2 linked regions of the Mytilus edulis genome follow. The main gene of each other region encodes a partner of the protein of the gene in region 2 in a complex. Links are inferred from orthologs where the notes say so. Each region holds a gene or a part of one and is shown on either strand. Other genes may lie near its edges.

Region 1 (7,627 bases), on a different chromosome or scaffold from region 2:
TGATAGTTTGTCTTTTGTTCCTATAGATGGCTAATGGAAACGTTGTGTGCTTAAAAATTATTTTTGTGAGATCATTTGATTATTGTACCATATATGTGTATGTAACTGTTGTAATTAATATGACGCTGATGCATTGAAAATCTAATGTAAAAATGTTTAATCTTTAGCCTGTTTTGCTTTTAAATAAAGTATTATTATTAAAAATCAAATACCTGACTTTTGAGTATAAATCTTTTCTTTCTCTGGTAAAGGTTTAATGTCATCAACCTTCAACAAGAAATCACTTTCTCCTAACATTCTCTTTGGGCAAGGTATTGGCTTGACAATGGACACTGTCAAATAAATTTTTGTATCGCACGATGAAATATTATTTACTGTTGCTTCCAATGGAACAATAAATGTTTTGTCATCAACAAAATAAGGCTTCTTCTCCTGAAATTAGAAAACAATAAAGTAAAGTGAGTTCAAAATAACTCACATTAGCATGTGTTTTTAACTGCATTTAACATTGATCAAGGTCAATAGCTCAAAATTACAATGCAGCAATAGTGGTTTTGGTTGAAATGTGTAATTTATATATCTATCTTCATTCTTCACAAGACACATACATGACATATACACATTTGAACATGTGCTTGATATTTTGTATAAAATATCACATTATGTACATTAATTGTATGTTTTCCACATTTTCTTTTAATATATATTTTTTCTCCCAAAAATGAAGGAAAATTCACAACGCATGTATGGTATTTTAAAGCTTCAATAACATGAATAAGAAAGCAACTACACAACATAAAATCACTGATAATAGATCTATATAAACTTTGGTAATTTGTTCGGAATTCATGAGGAATTCTAGTATTTACTTCTTTAATACATTTTTTAACAATACCACTGGACACTTATCAAATGACAATCAATCATTTTATAACATTCCCTAATGATTTCCATAGAAAACACCTATATTGATGGTTGGAGCCAGTCCATGAATGTTTATATGGGGACAGAGTCCCCAATAACAGTAGAAAATTCAATAAAAAAAAATACGGGAAAATTTCCCGAATTTTTCATTGTACTAATGAACTCAAAATCGTTCAAATTTTTTTTGTCATGTTTTGAAATCCCGGACCTGCGCAGAAATGTACAATGTACTTCCTTTTTCCAGTCTCGTTTGTATGAAACTTTGAGTAAAATATATATTTATTAGTCTAGTATAAAATAGGAAGGAACGCGCAATACCAATTTCATTTTTAATAATTCCTTGATATGAAAAAACGTTACCTGATGATAGCGTTTCTTTGTTTACATTGCATATGACGTCATAATTTAAATAACGTCACAACTAAATCCCTAACAACAGAACCAAAATCGGAAACGTTACGGTATTTCCGTTTCTTTTTTTTAAAACAAATATTTAAGTTACAAAAAAATAATTCATACAGACTTCGTCCCCATTTACAGGTAATGCCTGCCTCATATTATTGACTAAAGTAGCTGAATTTATCTGAGCAACATGGAAAAGGCAACTAGTGCAGCAGGAGCTAACACTTTTACCAAAATAACAAAGTTTTTTTTATGTTTCTTTCTGATCAATCTTGAGTTTTCTCTAATGTGTTTCTTTAAGCCATAGATTATTATAGTATTAATGAATGGGTGTTTTTATAATAGCCCTGTTATATGTCCAAGGTCTGTAATAATGGTTGAGGAAGTCTGTAATGGCCCGAGGCAACGCCGAGGGCTATTACAGACATCCGAGGCAATTATTACTGACCGAGGACATATAACAGGGCCATTATAAAAACACTCATTTCTTAATACATTTATTAACCAACTGATCAAAAGTGTATGTGTTTGTGCTAACTTGATGTACTGTCTTACTCTTTTAATGACAATTTAGTTTGAACAAAATAATTTGTACTTCACCATTATAAAGCTTTAAATGTACCAAATATCCAAGATATTAAGTTGAAAGAGATATGTGTTAAAAAACAGGATGAACAGTGATCCCTTTATATGGTTTTTTAATGTTGGTTGCTGGTTACTAAATTGAATAAAATACAAAAAGGTATTATACTCTTTACAACTTAGTTTTATTAACTTTATTAAAAACCCTAACAGGGCTTAATACAGACAAACTGGGCATTAATACAGGGCCATTACAGAAAAACAGGGCCATTACAGACAAAACAGGGCCATTACAGAAAAACAGGGCCATTACAGAAAAAACAGGGCCATTACAGAAAAACAGGGCCATTACAGAAAAAACAGGGCCATTACAGAAAAACAGGGCCATTACAGAAAAAAACAGGGCCATTACAGAAAATATGTAATTTTTAATAAACAGTCACTTTTGGCAATAATGCACTTAGTTGGTTAATAATACTTTTAACAAAACTTCTTGTTTTTGATACAAACTATATTAAGGATCCAGACAAAGACTATTTTTTATATAATTAATTGTATTTACCAAATGAATATAAAATATGTTAATAAATATAACCATTATATGGAGACGAAGTCCCCAATTACGGTAGAAAAATCAATAAAAATTTATAAAAAATCTAAAATTCGGGAATATTTCCCGAATTTTTTATACTACTAATGAACTCAAAATCGTTAACTTTTTTTTTCAGATCTACTTCCGTTTCCGGTCTTGTTTGCATAAATAAACACAATGTGAAACCTGGAAAGATTTGTTCTTTAAAAAGATGCATAATTCCAAATACATGAAATATTAGATTTCATTGAAAAAATTAATTTGTATTTCTCTATGAATAAAAAGTTGCAAAAGACTTATCCAGAACTTGAATAATTTGTGAGATTGTAACCTCTGTCTCTGAAAATCACTATTTTCTGAAAAACAATCACTGATACCTAAATTTTTGCATCTTAAAGTTGTTTGTCATTTTGTATATGTTCCAGACCATATGAGTATTTGGACCGTACGCGTACGGTCCGGACCGTATATGTATACTCGTACGGTCCGACCATACGCGTACGGTCGGACCGTATGAGTATACGCGTACGGTCCAGCTGATCATACGTTTTGGGATCATGTGGGTTAAATTTAAACAAACATTTATCAAAATCTTTATTTTTAGTTATACAAATTGTTATTATTACAAAATAGCTGGCCGATGATAAAGTGAATAAGCGAACAATTGAAATTAAATATTTGCTTAATTGTATATCCGTGAATTATATTTTGTTACTCTGGCCGAAGGTGACACTTGCTTCTAATAAGAACTTCGTATTTTTTACATTTACATGTTTTGTTAATGCATGTTCCTTTGCGTATGCATTTCTTTTGTAAAGTTCATAAATATTCTAAAACAATTGTCCTCCCACATTATGTTTACTTCCGATATCTTCAATTTCAATGAGCATACTGAGCTGCAATTAATGAATAACTGGCCTGCAAAATACAGGAGATTAACAGATTAAATAAGCGTGATCTTTTTAAATAGTTAAAATATTAAGTTTTTATGTCAAATGCTGTTGAACTTTTTATATTAATTGGAGATATAAGTCATGTTGATCTGTTATATACATTTGTATCTAATAAGCTTGACCAACTTCTTAATATCTGTCAGACCGTACCCGTACGGTCCGACCGTATGCGTATTTTGAAAAAGTACGCATACAGTCCAGACCGTACGCGTACGGTCCAAATACTCATACGGTCTGGAACATATATACTAATCAATAAGACACTTGAAATTGTTCCCAATTAGTCCAAATAAGTTTTTGGATATTAAACTTATATGACAGCCCATTTTATTTGAAGATTCTTTGATACATGTAGGTCTTACAACTTTAGAAAATCAACTTACATGTAGTTTTAAATGTGTTTTTGTGTCAGCTGTGCTTTTAAACACATTGCACAAAAAGTAACTTTTATTGTAAGACAGTTCATTTTCGTCGATATTAGGTATATTTTTTGCAACGTGGAAATTGACGTGTCCATAAAGATTTTCAATTCTTTTTTTCCATTTATTAATGTTCCCATTCAAACACGAAGGAAAATTAACAATCACATTAACAAGATACGTTTTCCCAATATTTACACACTTAAATTTGTCACTGTATTGCACATCACTTCCATTTTGTTTCTGCTTCTCAAATATATGCAAAATTATGTTAGAAAGATCAGCATCTTCTTCCATGATCTGTGCTGTCTGCTAAAATCGTAGAGTACAGTGGTATTGCACCAATCAAGAAGTCCTTTCCCGAGACAGGAAGTCTAATTTATGACTATACAATTAATTGAAATTTGTGTTATTTGTGATTCATTTTCTTTTTCTAGTTTTAAATTATTTATAAAGAATACATAAAGAAAACACCGTATCACAAAAACAACTATCAAAATTGGTCGCAAAGACGTGGGAAGCTGTATGAGGATACTATCTGTTCAGTACTATCCTTGTAAAATCAAAACTTCCGGTTTCAATTTTCACATGGGTTGCATTGATTTTTAAGCCCTGTAAACATTTATTGGCCATTGAAAATGGCAACTTGGTCAATGAACCAGTATTTTCAAACAGTAAGTTTATGTTTTATAGGAAATGAAAAAAATCACTTTGCTCCTTAAAATATACTTGTTTATATTTAAACTGGAAAACAATTTTTTTACAAAAAAGAAAGAGTAAAAAATTATACATGATATATAATATATAAGAAAGACAAAGTGCTGACAAAGTTGTCCAAGACATAAAAAACATGGCTAAACAATTTAAGGTTCATCATAACAAACGGACAAATATGGCTGTATTTACATGCCAAAAATTACTCTGAGTACAGACTTACCTGTGCAGTTGGAAAAGTTTTAATGCCTGGCATCAACTAGATATAATAAAGTTAAATGCATTTTGTGTTTCAGAAAGATAAAATCTCTTTTGGATTTTTCCTTCGTGCAAAAGTTCTGAAAATTGACTAAGTTGTGGTACAACTATGAGATGCTCCCTCAGGTAAAAAAACGGTTTGTATTGTTTTGATTGTCCTTAATTGGCGGTATCGGGATTGTTCGTCCTGATTACATGTTCGCCCTAGGTTCGTTCGCACTGAGTCTGTTAGCCCTGATAGTCCGTTCGCCCTGGGTTCGTTCGCCCTATATTCATTTTATTTATGATATGTATATATTACATTAACGAACGAAATATATATATATATTTATATATTGAAATTCATGTATATCTATTAAAAGTTAAATACAGAATATTTGCCAAATTTATATTAATTAAATAAAGTTCTTGGCTGCATTGTTACACTTTATTTTATAATTACTTTTAATTACTGTTGATTGAATTTTGATTGCTGATTATAAGGTATCATTTGAAATCTTTGATATCACTGATTGTTATATGAATTGTCTTTGATGGATTAATAATGAAAATAACGTTTTTCTCAAATAAAATAGTCAGCTTGGATGGGTAAAAACACTGATGACAAGTGATCAATGTACAGCAGTGTGACTGTGTTTTTGGTATTTGTTTCACTTATAGTAATTCATATTAGTGCTTTTAAATATTCGTTTAGGAAATAAAGGTGTGCGAAGTACAGTTCGGAATTGATCTTGTATAACTGTTACTGAATATTTTTATATTGTTAAAATGTATCAATAAAGTTAAATTTAGACTTAGTCTTTAGTTGTTTTATGTCAAATATTTTGTAGTCTTTGAATTCACAGAAACTTATCCTCGTAGCAGCTTGAAGACAACAAGTCTTCAGTTGTTTCACATTTAAAAATATTGTAAATATTCGACCAAATTGTAGACTGACTTCACCAAATTCAATTATATACACACAACGCAACACTATACTAAAAAATAAAATCAGGGCGAACGGACTCGAGGCGAACAGGTATTAGGGCGAACAGAAACTAGGGCGAACCAGAATCAGGGCGGACGGACCCGGATTCTTAATTGGCATGGACAAGAGGTATCTTCACAACTGCAGTTGAGATAAAGAGTTCGTCTGAGTCAGTGAGTGGACAGTATCAAAGTAATGCAGGTGTTTGTTTATTTTTACACCTTCTGCAGAAAGGAAAAAAATGCCCAGCAAAAACCAAAAAAGATTTTATCTTTCTTTAACACAAAATGCATTTAACTTTTATATATCTAGTGGATGCTAGGCATTAAAACTTTCCAAACAGCACAGGTAAGTCTGTACACAGAGTAGTTTTTGAGGTGAAAATACGGCCATATTTGTCCAATTGTTATGATGAACCTTAAACAAAAAGACAACAATTTTTTCTAAAAAATGGAACAAAAACTACTTGACCATCACCATGATCACTGACAACTGACACTGTAAGCTGACTGTTAATATGAGGCAGGCATAACCTGTGAATGGGGAAGAAGTCTGTATGAATTATTTTTTTTGTGACTTAGATATTTGTTAAAAAAAAAAAAAAACGTAAATACTGTAACGTTTCCGATTTTGGTTCTGTTGTAAGTGATTTTACTTGTGAGTTATTTAAGTTATGACGTCATGTTCAATGTAAACAAAGAAACGCAATGCATCAGGTAACGTTCATTTATATCAAAGACAAAGAATTATTAAAAATGAAATATTGGTATTGTGTACCTTGAGTTCCAATATTTTACTAGACTACACAACGAGACCTGAAGAAGGAAGTTGATTTCTGCATTCTGGGCAAATGTGGGAATTAAAAAAAGGGACAAAAAGAATTTGAACGATTTTGAGTTTAGTAGTACAATGAAAATTTCAGGGTTTTCCCGATTTATTTTTTATTGATTTTTCTACTGTAATAGGGGACTTCGTCCCCATATGAATTGCCAAATGTTTAAATGTTCTACATATATTTAAAAAAATGTTAATAAGTTGTATAGCTAGTCATGCTAGTGTCAGTTAAATTTGCTTCCATACAGTTGGTTTTTTTCCTCATAGTTCTTCATTCCTGGCTTCAAAGCATTGAAAAACTAATGAAAACACAAAAGGTTCAAAATAGGGATCAGAGAGTGATCAATAGATTATCTCACAACTGCTTCTAGTGACCACACATTTATGACATTAAGATTTGTTGCTGGAAAAGATTTATTTAGAATTTTGGCTTTACACAAACATGCCTAATGTTAAACAGTTTATATGTAACCATCTTAGAATATTCAATATAAGAGATAATGACAAAGTATCTTTATTTTTAGTTAGATGATGCCTTACAAGAAAGAGATGGGTTGAAAACAGCAGTAAGTTATTGATTTTAGATGTAAATCTATTTTTGTAACAATTTCTGAGCAATAGTTAACAGAATATGTCCCTTTTTTACATGTAACATGTTGAAAATGAAAAAAGTTAATGTGAAATAGATTTTGATAAATAAATTTAGACAAGATGAGAAAAGTATTTTTCCTATTTTGCACATTAGCTAAAGTTTTTCATTACTCTTTTCTTTTCAATTTCATTTTAGTTTTTGCATGTGTGCATGTGAAGAAAAATTATTTAAAGTTATCAATAATTAGTCAATTTTTATACGCCTGTCAAAATTTTGACGGGACATATTATGGTATACAAATGTCCGGCGTCCGTCCGTCTGTCCGGCGTAAACATGTTGCACCGTAACTTGAGAACGACTTATCCCAATTTCATGAAACTTGATATTGTT
Region 2 (7,673 bases):
GGTCTTCTTTTATATTTCCTTGGTTTTGAAGAAATCATAAAGTTTTTCGATTGAAATAATAGGCTGTTTCTTCCTAGAGCCTCCATTTACAGATGTGGATTTAGAGGAGGCCCAGCTAGTCCCCCCCTTTTTTCTGGGGAAAAAAATTGGTTGATTATTTAGGAAATCACTGAAGCATGACCGGAGCGGGTCCCCTCTTAGGCTATCAGTGGTTTCCCGAGACTACATTATACCATGCTTTTTCAGTTTCAGATATATAAGCAAAGGCAAGAAAAAATACTAAATTCACGAAAAAAAATCACAGACGGCAAAATGTTTAATTACTACAGGAAATACGACAAATCTGCATGGTAGGAAATTTATTAATGCTGTAGGTAAAAAATAGCTGAAAAGTATACAGATTTCTGGAAAGACAGTTTTTTAACGACCAAAATAACCCTAATGGAAACAAACTAAGAACACGCAGAAAATTAAAAAAAGAATTCAAATTAGAACTGTTTGTATTAATAGATTTAGATCGATACATGATATCAAATTTTATAAAAATAAGTCATCTACATATTGAACAGGGTAGACACCGTAAATTACCTTTGGAAAAAAGATTATGTCCTCTCTGTAAATAGGAGGTAGAAGATGAATATCATATCATTTTGCTTTAAAACGTCAAATTTTAGAAGGATGTAGGCAAAAACTTTTTCAGGAAGTAGAGAGTATAGTTCCAGATTTCACCCAAATGTCTGATAAGGAAAAAATTGCATTTGTGTTTACATTTAATGAGTATGACGTAACTGAAATTATTGTATAGGGATTTATGTTTTAAATTGGTTGAATATTGAGCATTCATTTGTTGCAAAGAAATAGCCTAGCTGATACGAAAAACTAGTCGATGTAACAAAGTTATGACTATTTTATATTTTTCTTATAGTAGGCCTATTTGTTATGATATATTTTATAACAATTACATCACCTCCTCCAAAAACATCTAAATATGGAGTCTTATATGATATGAATGTTGTTTAAATCTAAATATTGTATGTTTGTAATGATTGTCATGTTTGTCTTGGTAACAATCCAATATTTAGATTTTACACCAATAATACGATTTGATTTGATTTGATTTGATTTGGTAGGAAATATCAATGTACAATTTTCGTTAAGCAACCAACCATCAATCATCTACATACTGGAAAAAATTACTAAGCAAAATAATTGGAACAAACATTATGTTAACTTGGTCTTAAAATTAAATCTTTTTAAATTTCATTTCATTTATTAACCGGGCAAAAAGTCTTAGAAATCAGGGACAGTCTGAACTATCTTTAGAAATAAGAAAAACTCTAAAAATTAACAAATCTTAATGAAAACCCACGTGAAAAATCCTACGAGAATCATTAAGAAAAAAAATAAAGTTTTGTATTTATAAAAGAGGGGCGAAAGATACTAGAGGGACATTCAAATTCACAAATCGAAAATAAACTGACAACGCCATGGCTAAAAAACAAAAACAAAAACAAACAATAGTACACAAAACACAACATGGAAAAATAAAGACTAAGCAACACGAACCCCATCAAAATGGGGGTTAGCAGACCCTGTTTCACATGGGGCACCCGTCCTGTTGCTCATAATCACGGTAGGTATAGTGTCCGGCTAGGATCGTGGTTTTTCGAGTGATTTGATCGTTTTTTTTCGAGTTTGACCACTTTATTTCAAGTGAATATGATAAAAAAAATATAAACAAACAGACTTCCTTTCTGACAAGACGTGATATAAGATCATATAACAGTTTGAGTTTAATATTCAAGGCTATATGTACAAGGTGTGTTAGTATTAGAGAATGAAAGATATTATTAATCCGACATTCATGATTTTTTGTTTATAAATGTTGTATTTAGCCTTACAATGCTTTTATTCCACAAAAAAAACAACAGACTAAAGCGTTTTTTAAGCAGTTAAGCTGCCTTATGCTACCATCCTATAGATAAATTTGTGTTCTTCCCACTGAATGGTGTTAAAAGTGCTATTGTTATTATCTGGCTGGTTAATATGTTATTAGAATAACTAATTTGGCACTTTTTTCATACTTTCAATTCTGGAATGCAATACATATGACCAGAAAAACCTTAAATGATCGTCGAACTACCAAAAAATTTGAAGTTGCACATAAGAAGTAGTGCTCAATAGAAATCCGTTCGTAGTTTATTATCCTATGTGCTTTTGGCTAAGATGTCAAAGAACAATTGTATGAAATATTTCATCGCCGAAAATCTCTAATTACAAGTCGTTTACATTTCCCAAATGGCAAAAGGCACAGGAATATTGTTCATGCATGTACACGGTGTCACCAAATCTCTATATGATAGAGGAAATAAAGTTATATATAGTTGTCCAAGTCGGCGGTAATTTTAACTTACACGAAACGTAAGCTATTAGTATTCTGATGTTATAAAACCCCCCTCTTTTTTGAGAACTTGTAAAAGGTGCGATACTTACCCCTTAACCATATACTATATATATATTCATCTATGGGACAAGATAACAAGTCAAATGAAATATAGTGGAGTCACTGGGGTCACCCACCCCCTTCTGTTTGAGAACTTGTAAACGGTCGAGATCCCCGCCCATACACCACATATATTCTGGTATGTGACAATAAAACAAATCAAATGAAATATAGGGGGTATCATGGGGGTCAACCCCCCTTCTTTTTGAAAACTTGTAAACGGTTAAGATCCACACCCCGAAACCATATATATTCTTGTATGTCTTGTATGGGACAATAAACTAAATCAAATGAAATAAAGAGCGAGTCCACTGGGGATCACTCCCCCCTCTTTTTTTGAGAACTTGTAAACGGTGAGATACCCACCCCTTTACCATATTTATTGCTGTTTGTCATTTCAAGAAAATTTGAATGACATACAGGGTCAATTTCCTAGACGTCACATAGGCATATCATTTTACTAGACCTAACCAATTTGTACTGGACTTTGCCCAATGTCAGGCGACCATGAGAATGACGAATTATGGAAGCTCTGTTTGGAAGACTTCGTAACATTATCCTGTTACTATTATTTCTTGTTTATTATAAAATGTAATTGATGCAAAAATAAGTCTAGGTCAATTGAATTTACTTTAATTATTTTTTTTAATAATTTCTGGGCCTATAAAAATTTTCATTTATGGCTCATTCTAAAGAAAACATATAAATCTTTCAAGCAGTGTAAAGCCCAAGAATGTTTTACCAATTGTTTTATAATCACCTGTCATTTTATTCACATCTTGGAATGGAGTGACATCACGGACTTGGTGAAGGTAAGGGTCATTTACATTTTATATTGTCAGGTCAATCATACCTCAATTGCCCGGCATAGATTAGGATTGTAAAAAATCTGCCATAGATTTTGGATGGCATGACGTCACATTTGCCATAGATTTGGAACTCACCATAGATTTGAGTCCTACAGATATAATCAATTCACCGAAGTTTCGTGTTAATTGTTTACTAGTATGTGTTTTTCAGAGTTATTTTCAGACATACTGACGACGGACGGCCGGACAGACAACGATATACCATAATACGTCCCGTTTAAAAACTCAGGGGTTCTGACTTCACCACGACAAATACTATTAGCTCTTACAACAAAAGTACCATCAAATGAAGTTGAAAAGACTATGAGTCCCCTGCACTATGTTCTAAAAACCTTTTTATAAAGGATCCAAATAATAAATAATATAAATCCGCTAGTACGTGTAACTGGTTTAAAAAAGTTAAATGTTAATCCTAGGTTCAAAATGACAACGTTTGATTTCTTTAAATATTCACAACAAATTTGCTATAATCCATACATGTAACTGTTTATAAAAACCATTCTTTATTTTTTAAAGAAATGAATGTCTGTAACATATCTTAATTACCCGGCCATTTTAAAAAGATTACTATTTGTGGACGTTTCCGTAGATTTTACTTTTTGGGGTGAACACTATATCTATTGAAATAAAAACATGACGCAAAACCAGTTAATGTACAACAACAACAAAACACACACAAAAAGCAACGTTTGGTCTCGTGTATACTTTAATAAATTGAGCTATACTGAAGTCCACTGAAGGACGTGCATAATGTCAAATCATGAAATATTTATTGTTTTAGTCTATAAGAAAACTTGTAATATTTCCGTTGCTATTTTTGGTTGCCGATTTTGATACTGTGTTACATCACAGACACGGTCTCTGAAAAGAATACGGAGAAGTGACTGTGTGTTAAACGTTGATTTATCGAACGCATTAATAATGCAAGCCTTGGGAGTAAAAGTCAGAGAAAAGAACTGTTGCTAAAGTAAATGGATACATCTAGAGAAAACCAGAACAGAATAAAATTCCCTTTACTAAAAATAAATCATATTTAACTGATAGGCGTAACAAGGCGTGGCTAAATGTGCTTAAAGGGGCGTTTTTCCACATTCTCACTGGTCAATTCTAACTTCACTCCGTTAAAACTGGTTTAAACAGGTAAACACTGTATTTTCCCTTTTCTATTAATAGAAAATCACTATAATATGTGTCTATAAACAAATATTATTTGTTGGGTTCGACATTCGGACCTTATTGTTCTAGTACGAAAGCTCGTTTATCTGAATTCAATTTTATTAAGGTGAGTTGTATATTTCCTAATAATCAGATCATTTTTTGTAGATATCGTTATATATAACAACTGTTGAATCAGTTTTCGGGAATTCTACTTTTGAAACGGCAATAGTCCATGCTATTAAGTTGTTTGTAACTTTGGAATGTATGTTAATCATATCAAAATATAACTTTAGATCTTCACTGTAAATAATAACAGAAATATGTATGAACAATATTGTAATGTTTTGTAAGTGAAGACAGTTAAATGATTTGACCTGAACCGGGCGAGGCCGGGTTAACAGGTTAACAAAACATATACATCTGAAACAATTTTCAGTAGGCATATCGGAGACTGAAATAGGTGGACAGATATATATAGTAAAAAAAAACTTTGGAAGCACAAGGTTCGTGGTCATTGGAATAAATAAGTGTTTTTATATCCTCTTAAACAGATTTGGCTGAATTTTCATGCGGGAATTAAGGGCCCAAAAAGGGCCAAAACCAAGCATTTTTTAGTTTCCAGACAATAACTCGTGTTTAAGAATATGGATCTCTCTAAAACTGTTACAAATTACCATGAGACAAATTTCAGGTATATATATATATGATACGGTCAATTTGTAAATTCAGGGATTTTTTTTAATTCCTGAAATTTCAGTGATTTTGTATAATCACTGTCAAACTGATAAGTGATTTTATCAAATCAATGATTTTGACCGTAGTCGGGATTTTACAAAATCACTGAAATATTTAAGATCTTTTATACATGTTATACAAATTCCCTGATTAAATCCAGTGAATTTGCAAATAAAAGTATTTTTTTATTCAAAAATTCTATAAAAAAAAAGTCTTCACTCAACAAGTTTGAGGCTCAATTAGGCTTTGTTTTAATACTTATGTCTTTAGATCAAGAGCAAACTTACTCACAAAAGTTCTAATAATTGAGGGAAAATTAAATGTAACATAACATGTATCGAACCAGGAAAAAATAAGAAGAATTTTTAAAACATTATTCCTAAAAGTCACACAAAGACAAAACAGGCACTTATTATTATCCTGTTCGAAACTACGTTTTTTTTTTTTTTATTACAGTGCTTCTATAGCAATTACTGAACAGTATAAACCTATTATATCAAATATATATAGACAGTGACGCAACGATCATAAGATACACAATTTTCTTCTTGATACTATCTTATGATCATAAACAAGCTTCTGTCCAAGTTTGGTACAAATCAAGGATAGTTTATGAAAGTTATTAAAATTTTAAAACTTTAACCACAGAGTGAATGTAATGTTTCCTCGCAGAAAAACTAAGTCCATTATTAGTAAAATACGGAAAAGTGGAAATTTATTTTTACAAAATTTTCTTCTTGATACTATCTTATGATCATAAACAAGCTTCTGTCCAAGTTTGGTACAAATCAAGGATAGTTTATGAAAGTTATTAAAATTTTAAAAACTTTAACCACCGAGTGAATGTAATGTTTCCTCGCAGAAAAACTAAGTCCATTTATAAATAGAATACGGAAAAAAAAGGAATTTTATTTTTACAAAATTTACTTCTGAATACTATCTTATGATCATAAACAAGCTTCTGTCCAAGTTTGGTAGAAATTCAGTATAGTTTAAGAAAGTTATTAAAATTTCAAAAACTTTAACCACAGAGTGAATATTTGTGGACGCCGCCGACGACGACGACGCTGACGACGACGGAATGTAGGATCGCTTAGTCTTGCTTTTTCGACTAAAGTCGAAGGCTCGACAAAAATCAAATAAAAAGTAAATATTTGTTTAATGTAGGTATGAAGTATTTTTTAATGCGGAAATGTGATGAAAACAAGTAAATACAACCCTATTTTCATCAGATGAAAATATGAAATATTAGTTTGAAGCCACTGATTCCCAGTTTTGGAGTCCGTCAGCTGTGTTAATTGACAATTTCAGATCTTTCGACAAGCAGTCAAACTGTCTGCAACTCCTCCATTTGGGATGAACAATGGTTTTTTTCTTCTAAATGTGGATGTTATTGGAAGAATGGATGTGAACAAAATAGGTGTGTCTATCGAAAAGCTGGAGATTGAACATTCTGCAAAAAGAAAGAATTTACTACACTTAATAGAAATGCACGAACCTCATATAATACAGGCATACGAACACACTTAGATAATAAACCAAATCAAGTGCTGAAATCTTCGATACAAATATTTTGAAGTATTGTATTGTTTAAAGTATGAACATGAAGGTGGTGGAGTTTTAACCCTATATAGCTGGAAACACTCGTCACTGACTGTAAATATACTGGAATCAAACTAAGTTGATATCAAGGCAGTAAACATCTTAATACTAGTACCTGGAAAAAAAAATAGTTCATTGATGGCTTTTACACATTTCTTTGATACCCCTTTGACAATCTACTAAACTTAGCACTCTGACACTGGAGATTTCAACATGCCATATATTTTATGGGAAACACAGGCGAGGTTCAAGGAAAGACAACTTGAAACCCAATAATTATAGTAAAAAGTTCATAGAATCACTTCAGTGAAGAAAGTCTATCACAAACAGCAAAATAACCAATAGTTTAGATATATACTTTATATTTACAACTAATCCACCAAACATTGAAAATATATCAATCAAAGATGAAATAAAAGGGACAATATGATTGAAGTTGACAAATGCCTTGATAAAGAGGTGTTCTTTGAATCTAACTAAAATATATATATCTAATTTCGTTATATTACATTATGTAGTGTAACGAAATCAGAGATCTATATTTTAATTATATTGATGATCTTTTAAAAAACAAATATTGTACCATACAATACTGAATGATGGAATTACTTTCAAGAAATATTACAACATGTTATTTTAAAATAACAAAACATATTTCACCCACGATTCTGACAACCAGGTGGAACGTGCTTTGAATGGACCAAGTTAACAGAGAGATCAAAATAATAATAAGAAAAAGTAAAGAGTTTATACAACCAGGTTAAGCGTGCTTTGAATGGACCAACAGAGAGATCAAAACAATAATA

What was found.
Region 1: nuclear pore complex protein Nup98-Nup96-like (region 2) and PCI domain-containing protein 2-like share a complex: the UniProt entries of both Drosophila melanogaster proteins name them as parts of the nuclear pore complex. The link is inferred for Mytilus edulis from reciprocal best matches to the Drosophila melanogaster genes Nup98-96 and PCID2.

What each region holds. Positions count from the first base shown.
Region 1 is NC_092346.1:45,879,908-45,887,534, reverse strand, and holds the start of PCI domain-containing protein 2-like, read left to right. Parts: upstream 1-4,413; 5' UTR 4,414-4,510; coding exon 4,511-4,546; intron 4,547-7,169; coding exon 7,170-7,211; intron 7,212-7,627. Other genes in the region: trafficking protein particle complex subunit 14-like, read right to left, coding at 213-432, 3,837-4,169. UniProt on the Drosophila melanogaster protein: Required for the export of nuclear mRNAs and involved in mRNA trafficking in the cytoplasm.
Region 2 is NC_092351.1:7,550,826-7,558,498, forward strand, and holds the start of nuclear pore complex protein Nup98-Nup96-like, read left to right. Parts: upstream 1-4,565; 5' UTR 4,566-4,654; intron 4,655-7,673. UniProt on the Drosophila melanogaster protein: Part of the nuclear pore complex (NPC). Required for MAD import as part of the Nup107-160 complex and required for nuclear export of Moe probably via its association with Rae1. Plays a role in nuclear mRNA export.